Caenorhabditis elegans: one gene and its partner. The protein of the gene in region 2 purifies or fractionates together with the protein of the main gene of each other region. This does not show direct contact. Each region holds a gene or a part of one and is shown on either strand. Other genes may lie near its edges.

Evidence for each region.
Region 1: the proteins of F37A4.4 (region 2) and tag-131 fractionate together in Caenorhabditis elegans (co-fractionation; one large-scale study listed by BioGRID). This does not show direct contact.

The regions. Positions count from the first base shown.
Region 1 is NC_003281.10:4,315,895-4,320,843, reverse strand, and holds tag-131 (Neuferricin homolog), read right to left. Parts: upstream 3,143-4,949; coding exon 3,071-3,142; intron 2,637-3,070; coding exon 2,454-2,636; intron 2,410-2,453; coding exon 2,318-2,409; intron 2,269-2,317; coding exon 2,084-2,268; intron 1,553-2,083; coding exon 1,285-1,552; intron 980-1,284; coding exon 799-979; 3' UTR 506-798; downstream 1-505. Other genes in the region: H38K22.6 (uncharacterized protein), read right to left, coding at 360-389; dcn-1 (Defective in cullin neddylation protein 1), read right to left, coding at 4,367-4,783. UniProt on the Caenorhabditis elegans protein: Heme-binding protein.
Region 2 is NC_003281.10:6,711,626-6,718,622, reverse strand, and holds F37A4.4 (Ankyrin repeat-containing protein F37A4.4), read right to left. Parts: upstream 5,058-6,997; 5' UTR 5,023-5,057; intron 4,973-5,022; 5' UTR 4,919-4,972; coding exon 4,846-4,918; intron 4,762-4,845; coding exon 2,568-4,761; intron 2,227-2,567; coding exon 2,046-2,226; intron 1,991-2,045; coding exon 1,876-1,990; intron 1,827-1,875; coding exon 1,602-1,826; intron 1,477-1,601; coding exon 1,376-1,476; intron 1,333-1,375; coding exon 1,017-1,332; intron 972-1,016; coding exon 832-971; intron 785-831; coding exon 638-784; 3' UTR 598-637; downstream 1-597. Other genes in the region: F37A4.5 (Mov34/MPN/PAD-1 family protein), read right to left, coding at 5,515-5,589, 5,635-6,193, 6,308-6,550, 6,597-6,679.

The DNA of each region.
Region 1 (4,949 bases), 2.4 Mb from region 2:
TTTGCGACTTTTTGAGCTGTTTTTACTGTTATTTTACTTTTTAAACTTTTCAACTGCAAGACTAGGTCTCGACGCGATCCAAACTTTTTCAAAGGCTTGAAAGGTTGAGCGGCGTGCGTCTTAAAAGGAGTACGGTATGCATACTTGCATTTAAAGAAAATATTCCAAAAAAATTCAAAACAAAGTGTGTGCAAAATTACAGTATTCTTCAAAGGCGCACATCTTTTTCAGGCAATGTCAAAAATCGCAAACTTCAGCACCCGCGGGTTGAAGGCGCATACTGTACCAATCGGAAACTGGGAAAGTTAAGACCCCAACTTAGGTCTCGTTGGATTACCGTAACCTAAATTTGAACTCACACAATCCAAAAGAAACCAAAAACCGTGCATTGTTATATGAGCAAGATGGAAATAATGACGATGGTTCTAGTTAAAATCAGATCTAATCTTGATTATAGATCTTTCCGAATTTTTAATGTGCTAGTAAAAATAGGGTCACGTAATATTTTGGGTTGATTTTATAATTTATTATTATGATACACTCTTTGATATTTTTCAAAAAGATACATGAAAACCTAACAAGGAATTTTTGTATAAAATGGGGGAAAAAATGGAAAAAAACACAGAATTTGATGAAAAGGCAGATTTGTAAAAAGTTGAATCAGGAAACCGTAGGTTTGGAGTGGAACAATAAGACATTGAATTAAAAGTAGAATGGGGCAACAGCTAAAGCACACATAATTTTGGTGGAACAGGGATAAAGGGGACTAGAAAACTTTGAAAAATTCAAAACTGGAAATTAAGATACAATTTTGCAACTATTTGATGTTGGTGAGCAGTCTGGGAAGAGTTCCAGGTCGGGATGATCAAGATCTCCACGATTACTTGAAGATTTCACTTCCTCGGCTCCCGAAACTCCTGGACCGAAATTTTTGACGCATGCACATCGGAATTTTTCAGTAGTTGGTTCGATTAGTTTTCTGGAATATGGGATAAATGGTTTTTTTACACTGATTTTTTAAATGTTTTTATCACTAAATTAAATTTTAAATTATGCTCAGGCTCGGGCTTATGTTTGGGCTTTTTAGAAGTTTCTTTTTTCAAAATTTTTACAAAAAAAATCCGCGTTTTCACAATTGTAGAGATTCCCAACAGATTATTGGAAATTTAAGTTTACTTTTCAAACTTTGACTGAAAATTTTTGGAAAATCTACATATTTTTGAACATATCGAAGAAAAAATTTTTTGGAAAAAATTTAAATTTCAAACCCAAATTATCTGTTACCTTGGAACTCCAGCCCATTGTCTCTCGACACCTCCACTTTTCGTCGAACACCACACCCGTCCTCCATTCTGATTATATTCACTATTACACGGAGGGAAAACTTCAATTTCCACCGCCTGTGCTTTTCTATACTCATTGGCTTTTTCGACTCGTGCTAGAACATCAGTTAGTTCAGGAGTTGGTTGACCTTCTGAATCATAGTAAAGATCAGCGACAACTCCAACCAATGGGTATTCTTTATCGTAGAATGATACCCAATCACGGATTGCTGAAATTATTTTGAAACGTGAAAATTGATATGAAATTAGACAAACTAAATTAAATATCAAAAATAGAACAGAAAAGGTTTTTAACTGATTTAAAATACAAATATTTGAAAAGCTTTTTTTTAAGAGTTGCATTGGAATTCTGGTTCTGGGTGAAATTTTGAATTTCGGTTATTTAAATGAGAATTTTTTTTAACTTGTTTAATTATTTAAAAACAATAATTTTTGTTTGAAAATTCGAAATACCGCCAACAGGCATTCGAAAATCGAGTTTTTTAAAGAATTAGCGTGCTGTTTTATATATTCCAGACATTACAGAAATGGCTTGAAAGTTGAATTTTTCTGTTTTTTTTTCAAATTGACTTGTTTCTATTTTTTTAGATTTTTCGGAATTTCAGGCCGAGTTTGAGTATTTCAAATTACAATTCATACTGATCCGGAATAAATTATGAATTTAAAAATTTTTTATTATACTACGAGAATCTTTTTTCTTTCTAGTATTTCAAATTTCAAAACAAAAAATTATCCCTCACATAGCAATTCATCATGCGAAAGTCCATGAGTCGTTGCAATCAGCCCACTCTCCTGAAAATCCCCAGTAGTAAATGCCCGTGTAGCATCTCGACCGGCAAAATGGTGATATGATTTTCCGGGTCCATAGTACTCTTTCTTTCCGTCTACATTGTATACACGACCCAGAATTGCCAAGTATATTGGTCTGAAAATTAAAGATATTTTAATAATAGTGAACTTTTTAAGAAATCCACTTTGAATCTCGAGTTCCATCGAAAAAGTGCAATTGTTCTGGTGTGAAGACGTGTTTTCCACCGGCGGCAACATCTACTTCTGGATTTATAGCCTGAAATATTTGATATTAAAATAATTAATGCATTTCAACCATACTTGAATGTGTTCTGCTTTTCTGGAAGGTATCGAAACCTCATTCCACGTGGCATCAATTGATGACGCCGTCCATTCTTTCGCGGATCGATAATATTCGGATTCTTCAAGAATAACGTCTATCGTTGATATTACATGTGTGACAGTGATATCATAAGAGGAGCAGATGAATGAGAGAAAGAACACCTGGAAATTTGAAATATTTAAAATTCTAATTAGAAATCAAAAATTATACGGGTTTTCAAACTTTTTCATATTTAAACTATGTCGATTTACGCAGCCCATGTACTCCTCGTGGAGAAGTTTGATTTTTTCGATTTTTAGCGAAAACACTTGGTTTTTGACTATCTTCTTTCGTTTTTTTGTATTTAGTTGACATTCAAATTGCCTATTTAAGTATCACTTAATAATGGTATTTTTGACGAAAAATAAAGTTATTCCTGTGTAAAAACAAGAAAATCATGTTTTCTAAAGATTAGTTACCACAATAACTATATTGAATTTCACCAAAAACACTATAAGCAATAAATAAATTAGCGATTCAAATTCCAACATTTTAGCCAAAAACACTTCTCCTCGAGGAATACACGATCTGCGTAAATCGACACTTGAAATCTTACCAGCGCTGCAATTCCAGCAAGTGTTTTGGTCATTAAACCCGCATCATCCGTTCTCCTTCGGTTCTTATCCATCTGAATTTGGATTTTTAAAAATTAATTCCTGATCTTTAAATATTTCAACTAGATCTTCAACGTATTGAAAAAGTTGAAATGTTGTTCAATAATATGTAAAAGAATTGATTTATGCATACGTACATACTTTCATAGTGAACACATATGGAGTTTTTGTAAGAAAGGCAAAAAAAATGGTTAAATGAAGAATAGAAAATGGAAAAGTTGAGAAAATGATGGAGGGGGGAGCAAATTTTCAAAATCAAATTTACAGGATTCACATAAATACTCAAATGAAAAATATTCTTAACTTTTTCCATACTTTATCATTTTTCTACTTTTCATTGTGATCTTCTTCTTGGAAGAAGAGAGATGGAGAGAGATAGAGAAATGAGGCAGCAACCCGTCAAAGAGTATGTGCAGAGGGAGAGAGTAATATGGTCGAAAAGTAACGGAAATGTAGCGAGAGACAACTAGGATCAGAGAGCATACTGGGAGACAGAGACAAAACCTTTAGGTGAGAGAGGGATAGAATAGAGAAAGAGACGATGGGCAAAAAGAAATAAGTGGGATTCCGGAGACGAGAAAAAACAACGGATCAGAAGAGATTAAATGATGAGAGAGAAATAGAGTTGATGGATGAGATGGAGACGACGACCGCATTGAAGACATTATCGATTTGTTCCGGCGGTGTGAATTGTTATTTTGAAGATAGTCTTGAGCATGGGATACTGAAACAATTTGAATTCTATTAGTTGTAAATTAGAATTAAAATAAAAAATTCCGGGTTTCTTTTGCGCTATTTCTGAATTTGGGAATATTTAGGATATTTTTCGAAATAAAATCCCAATTCGCTACCACACCTTTAAAGTGTCGAGTTTTCTCGGTATAATATAAAAATATTACACAAACGCGAAATTTCGCATAAAAAATACGGTAGCCGGTCTCGGCACGAAACATTTTTTGTTAAAATATGTGCGCCTTCAAACTTTTGATTTTTTGAAGTTTTTCACAAGATTTTTTAAAGCTTATCTGTTGTCATAGAAAAATTAACGTTTTGAAAAGTGTGAAACTACAGTACCCATTGAAGGCGCGTGCATTTTCGCATTTAACCAATATTTGTCGTGCCGAGACCTGGTACCGTAGTTTTGAAGCAAAATTTCGCGTCCAGGCAATATTTTATAACTCTGAAAATAGGAAGAAATTGGGGAAACACGAACCTTTAGGATTTTAGAATTGTTTGTCCTAATAATAACTTGGTGTCTCCATTTGCTGATCATTTGACGCATTTCCTGGCTTTGGATAATTGAGATTTTCACGGCAATAATCAACGAATTGATCAATAAGCACTGGCCATGCTCCTTCATCATCGTAATCCGACAAATCTGGCTTACTCAGAAGAATAAAGTCCCAGAAGAGATTCCACGTGTCACGAGAGATCCACACCGATTTGAATTGCTTCGCATTGGAAGCGCCCACGTTCTGAGCGAGGCGAGACGCCGCCGCGTTCTCCTGTGCCCATAGAAAATCGATCCATTGAGTCATAATTGTTGATCGTTGTCCGAAAAGAACATCCCAGCAACAGATGGCAGTTTCAAGATCCAGATTGCGGCAAGCGGCGGATTTGGCATAGTTGAAGGCAAATAGGTAGAGCTCGTGGAACTGTAACTGATAAGATATTAGATATGAGACGATCGTAGAACCTTTTTGTTTTTAAAAATTGTGATAATTCAAATTTTTGAATCGAAAATTATTATAGAAACGTATTAAAATTTTCCTTCGGTCTGAAAATTATATTTATTAATTTTCACAAAAATAAATATTATTT
Region 2 (6,997 bases):
TAACGGTAGAAGAATGCGGGGCAGCGGAAAAGTCGCCTATTTCGATGGAACATGTCAGATAAGAGCTGTTTGGTCGGTGCGCACGAAAAAAGATTTTGGGATTGCGCTAATGCCGAGGATGCAGTGCGTGAGAAACGATTCCGCCAGACGTTGAGGAAAAAATGAGGAAAAACCTGAATTTGAGTCGAGATACACTTTTTGAAAATAGCGGATCACAATTTGTAGGATAGAGAATTCTTGCTTTCGTGAGTGAAAGCAGCAAACCGAAATGAAATAAAGATTACGAAAACGTTTTCTATTTTCCCAAACCATCTGAAATAAAAATTCCACCAGGTCGAGGCGTGATGAGGCGCCTTTAACCTGCCTCTTCGCGCCTTTCATTCAGGAATCAGAAGATATTTGTCATGAAATCCATTAAAAACAAAACCCGGATGCTGCCTGAAGATGTGATTACTGTGTAGGACATGAGTACAGTCTCATTTTAATTATGAAGAACAATATTCCGATTTCTCGAATCTAGTTAATATATTCAACTTGAGTATTTCAAATTTAAAATGCCAACCATATTTCAAATATCTGAAAACCATTCTACATAATATTCCTTCAACTAAATATTCATTCTACATTCAATCAATTATCAATCTTCTTCGTCGACAAGCACTGGAATAATCTTCGGATTTGTATCTTTATTGATTTCCCGTTTGAACAGCAGATCCATAAACTGTTGCTCGGTGAAAAGGGTGAACATTTTGTCTGGGTCAGATCTGTAGAGATCCAAGTCGCCCTGAAACAGGAAACGAATTGAAAACATTTTAAATCTGGAAAACCAACAGTTCCATCGTGAAGAAGAAAGATCGGTCCAAGATTTTTGTGAAGGTAGGGATGGGATCCTTTGTTAAAGGCATCTTTGTCAGGGAACTTATCCAGCATAGTTCCTCCTTGGCCTTGGATGATTGCAGTCAGACTTGCCACTGAATGTATTTAAATTAAATATTGATAACCTAAATTCTACTCACAATATGGGCAATTTTTCATACAGAGAGCCACATGAACACCGTACAAGAATGGAGTAGTTGCTTTTGCCATTGCATTGGACCATTGGGTTACTGTATCGTAGATGATTCCCTTGTATTTCACTTTTTCGACAAGATAGTCACAGTCTTTTTCAATCAACTTTTCGTCTCTGAGGCAATCAACCATCCACGTATCCCTAACAATTATTGATCCGTGGAAGATCCAAATTAAAAGGTTCAAATCATCCGTTTCGAGGATTCCGTCTTCAGTAGTTTTCACGACAACATGAGTGGTGGTGATCATTGCTTCGTCGGAGGTCTGAAAGTTTTTATATTTTTGAAGTTTGCAAGAAAAATCTCACAATCGATTGAAACTTTGTCGTAAACTCATTGGTCACATTATCATCAGTCCTATCTTCAATGTAAATATGGAACGAACTAACGGGAAACTTCTCGGGAACACCTGAAAATGTTTACACATTCTGAAAATATATATACAGGCGGTACATGCATCTGAAATAGACGTTGCATGTGGTCAAGGCGTCACCTTCACTACCAACTCTATATACGAAAATAACCAAAACCTACAAAGCTTAAACTTCTTCTTTCGATACTTATTGTAAATAGACTCAATACTTTTGAATCGTTCAATCTTCTCTTTGTGTGTTTCCTGATAGTTAACCGGAATCATCTGTTCAGCCGTCTTATTCTGTGGATTCAAGAATGAACGATCAGCCCCGTGTTTGATGAGGATCTCTACAAGATTTTGATAGCCTCTTCTGGTGGCAACATGGAGAGCTGTGTTTCCATACTCTGAAATAAAAATTATTATTGTATACAAATAAAAATAAGAATAACATACTGTTGCACACATTGATATAGGCGCCCCTTTTCACAGCTTTGAGCAAGTTAGTCGCATTGATTTCACGTACAGAATCTATCAAGACATTCTTCCCATCAACTCGGTCCATAAATAACTATAAATACAGATATAAAATCAATGCATTTAGAAAGATTGTTTCAAAATTTTACCGAGTATCTCCATCGCTTCTCATAATCCGAAGTTTTTCCAAAGTAGTACAAGTAGAGATTAATGTATTGATTCCTTCCATTTGATGTAAATCCATAGCCAACTATGGCTAGAATAACCAAAACAAGGACAATTGCAACACAAATAAGAACAACAACGATTGGAGAGGTGGATTCGGATTGCCTGAAAAATCGATATTCCAAAATTATGGAAATATTTTTTCCTAATCCACAAGCAACTATAACTGTATATATTTTTTGATACGATCCCTCAATTAGTCTTGAATTCTTTTTTATGGAATAATCTTTCGCTAAGTTACGAAAAAGTTGAAATGATTGCATATTGTAGCGATTAATTGTCTAAAAATTGTCTAAAAATGTGTATTGCAGCCATGCTAATATAAAAATACAATAAATAGTAAGTCCGGATATTCGTCCAGCTAAAGTTGCACTAGAAAACTTATGTTGTTATTTATCAAAACAGAAACTCCCAACAAAATCAAATACTCAAAATCAAATACTCACACAGAAACTTTGGGAGTCAATCCGAACAAATCATCAAAATACAATTTCAAGTTGTCCACACTCAACGACGCTGCACTCAACGCTCCTTTGTGTGATGCAAAATTCAAATCCAACGTGCTCAGCGCTTGTGTAATCTTCCGTTCATTTGAATATTGACTACCTTTTTTCTCAAACTGACTGTCAATATATGAGAACACTTCGGGAATTCCAACAATCTTGGAGCCATCTTCAAACACTTTCCGGATAGTTAGCAAATCAGCTTTACGATAGGATTTTGAAGATTGTTCCAGTTTTTCCAAGTCAGATACAAGTTTTTCAATGCTTGGGCCAGGATTTGTCCAGAACTCTTTGATATAGTCGATAGGATTCTTCTCTCTTATTTCCTGGTTGGCTTTTGCATTAAACATCGTTGACTTTAAAATTGTGGCCTTTTCCTTCAAAGAAATTATCATTTTTTTAATAGCTAGCAAGCCATTTCCCAAATGATCCGCGTGCTTCTGTGAGTCCTTGATTTTGAGAACCGGGCTTCCTGAATTGGATGCAGCTCGAGCACTTCTTGAAGTAAATCCTTTCACTAATTTCTCAGTCTCCAACATTTTCTTCTTCAATTCAAAAAAGTTATCGAGATTAGCCTTCAAAGTTGAATAATCAATATCTAGTTGCATCATGTGTTGCATGAATTGAAGCATTTTCAAAAGTTTTGAAGAATCTAATTTATCTTTCTCAAGGCACTTTGATGTGTCCACTAGTCCAGCATCAGTGATTATTTTTGAAAGAGAAAGTTCACTCGAATTGCTAGTTTTGTAGGCAGATTCGTATTGCGTTTGAAGGGACTTGAGCATTGTAAATTTGTTGATGATTTTCAAAAAATCGTCGAAGTTTGTGATTTTCTCAACTTGTTCCTTAATATTTGAAGGTGTTAGTTTTTCGAGCTCTTCAAAGTACACATCCATTGCTTTTTCATCAAACATAGTCGATATCTCAGATGCCCATTGTTCTACTGCCTGAACAGACCGAACCAACAGATACACGGCGGAAAAGTTTTTCAGAAATTTGGTTTCTTCACCCTGGTCAAGAGCATTCTTGTAATTTTTGAAACAAGTTCGAAATGTCGCCTCAAAATTCTCCAAAAACTTTTTTTTATCCACATTTCGGTCGTAATCGTCGATTTGGGACAACAAATCGGGGATAGTTGCCAAAAGAGCCGAATCCGTTTGAAAATCATCTCGAAAATTGTTCCAACTTTTAAACACATGAGCCATACTCTCAGCAAATTGATTAAAAGGCTTTAGAGCAGTCTCCAGTTCCGCTGTGCTTTTTCCTCGCGAGACTTTCTTTTTGAACCAATCACTTGTAAGATCCTTTGCCACACGTTTCATGTCTCCACTCTCCGGGAATCCAGCAGTCAGAAATAAGCGTGTTGAACTATTCGAGTAAACTGTTTTTTTGAAAAGTGTTATTGCAGATTGTAACAGTTTTCCAGTATTTCCTTTGTTCCTGTGGTCCCCCACAGCCAAAATATTCAAAAATGGAGTTTTGAACTTTTGCAGCATGTTAGGAATTTTGTTTGCAATGTCCAATTCATTCAATGCTTTAATTGTATTCATTGTGTCATTGAGTTCCAGGAAACCAGATAACGGATAGTTGTATTCATATAGTTTTTGCATAAATGCTGGAAACTTGGAAATGCATTTATAAAACGCCTTTTTCATAGTTTTCATTGACGAGAAAATTTTCATCTCGTCAGATTCAGCAAATGGAACTCCACTCATTGCCTGAGAAATATTGAACATAATTGTGATCAAACTTTCATCACAAATTTCCATCTTCTCATCAACCTTTTTCAGAACAATCAGAGAATTCACTGTTGCTTTTTCAGTGTAATTTTCAGACTCTACAGCTGCCAATAGTCCATTCATCGCTATCATTTCTTTGAGATCCTGTTGTAACTGTTCATTGGAACCACTCACAGCTTGAAGGCTTTTCTTGTGAAGCTCGTCAAGGTTTTTGACAAGATGTGCAGGATCTAGGCTCAACAAGTTTGAGAAGTTACCATTATCAACTTTCAGAAGCTCGGTGATCACTTCACGGATTTTGACAGTTTTGGATAGAGCTGCAGCCTGTAGAGCTATTGCGTTGGTTACACGAGACAGAATGGATAACTCATCGTAGATTTGTTGAAGTTGAGATTCGCCTGAATAGTAATTAACATAAGTTTCATGTGAGAGTCCAGGAATATGACATTTTCTTGTGAATCAATCAGAAATTTTCAATTTACCTTGTTTTTCTCCGGCTCCACTAGCCACAAAGAATACAACAAAAGTTGAAAATATAGCGTGACAAAGCTTCATGCGAATCTCTTATTTATTTCCTTCCTAGTACACGTCTCACTTTGAATACCGACACTGAAGCACATTTTGCCAAATCATGCTGAAACTGGTTTGGTATAACTTACGGATCTCCTCGGATGCTTTCTGTGAAGCTGTTGAAAATCTGAATTGATTGTGAAGTCTAAATGTAGCAAAAACAAGAGAACAAGGTTAGTAGGTTATTGGAACACGTAAATGGTAACCTCGGAAGGAAGTTCTATATTTTTCACGGGTTTTATGTTTTGTTTTTGATAAGAACTTTATCTATGAAAGTGCCCATTCTTTGCAGTAGGCACAAAAATTCCTGACTTCCGTCAAGGCTACGTATGCCTACCTGCCTACCACACAAACAGGTTCTTCAAATGTGTAATTGCACTGCCAACAAACTATACAATTAATATCTGTACTGGGCGAACATGGAACACCGAAATTCAGCTGAATCGAGAAAATAGGTAGTAAGTAGGCAGATGAGGAGGGCAGTCAGATAAGATCTGTACAATGATTCTATTTATTGATTTGAATGTGATATGGAAATGGGAAGAACGTCATTCAGAAACACAATTTAAATTGTTGCTAGTTCATGTCATTGATTTTGCGTTGATCATTGCAGTAAGCTGATGGCAGAGGGAATCGTTGAGAAGGCTAGAAGTGATCTGAAATTAAAACATTTTTTCACTGTACGTTTATTCGATTTTTACCATTTGCAATTGCTGTTTTGCATTGATTTTTCCAAACTTTTTGACTTCTTCTTGAGTCTTTCCTTTCTTATCTGCAATTGGTTTCTCCTTAACTTCGTCAATATCCTTATTGAAGACTGCAATCAGTTTGTTGATGCTCTTGAACTTCTCCTCCTGCTTCTTCTCAAGCTCCGAGTAAGTTGACATATTCAATTGATCATACCAACTCTTCTTATTCAAACACATCAACATCTTCTGCTCATTCGACCCCATGCGATAGGCGACATTCAACGAATAGTACTTGGTGCCAAGACCATGAACAACAGAGATTAGCGATGGCTTAGTGAGATGTCCAAGATTGGAAGTAGTCTGTCGTGGTTCAGCAGTTGGAGCGAGAGGACGAATTTGCAAGTTGAGTGGGTTTACAGATCGGAATGCGTCCAGCATAACTTTCCCCTTCACACTCTGAATCGGATCAACGACAACTGCAACAGCACGGGGATGGAGAGCTTCGAAAGACTGTTGAGTGTTTACGTCCACAGAAGATAGCCAGCATCCGAATCCTGGATGCGAATGGTACCTGAAAGTTGTTATATAATTTCAATAGAGGCTTTGATTATAAAAACTGAAAACTATATCTGCTGCGTCGTAGATTCTAAAAGATTGCCTATATTCTTGGGTCCCCTTTACTCACCATCCAACAACATTTTCAGTTCTTCCAACCAATTTCAGCAAGTCCATATGCTTTGTCTGATACACAGGATCCACCGATTCCACGGTCACACTGGTTCCACTCTGCGGCATTGCAAAAACGTCCGTAACATTGATAGTGTAGTCGTCCACAAAGTCTCCGAGCATCAGACCCATCACCTCCAACGGGATTCCAGAACGAGCATGGCGCAGCATTTTCAGCAAAGCCAACGAGGAAATGTTCACTCTGAAATTTCAACAAATTCTGGAATCCATAAAAAATTTAAACTTACGTTTCAGAAGTGTCCGGATGATCAAGTTTATCAGTTGCCTGCTTGTTCTGATTCATCAACAACGAACGGATAAGACGATCCATTTTTTTCAGAAATTTCTATTCTATTGAGCACGAACAAAAAAATCGAAAGCAACATGCGAAGCAGAATATGTTAATAAAAGAGTTTCGGAAGAAGTCTCGGCGTTGCCACGTGGATGACGTGGGTCGGAAGAGTGTGTGGCAAAGGTCACGCGAGAACTATTTTCCGCGTGAAATGTTTTTTGTTGTGTTTTTGAGAAGCATGAAATTCTTACACAGGAGAATTTTCAGTTAATTTATTTTACAAAAAAACAAAGCAAGTAACAATTATTAAAAAAAATAAACAAATCAACATCGTTCCAAGATCCCAACGTCTCCAAT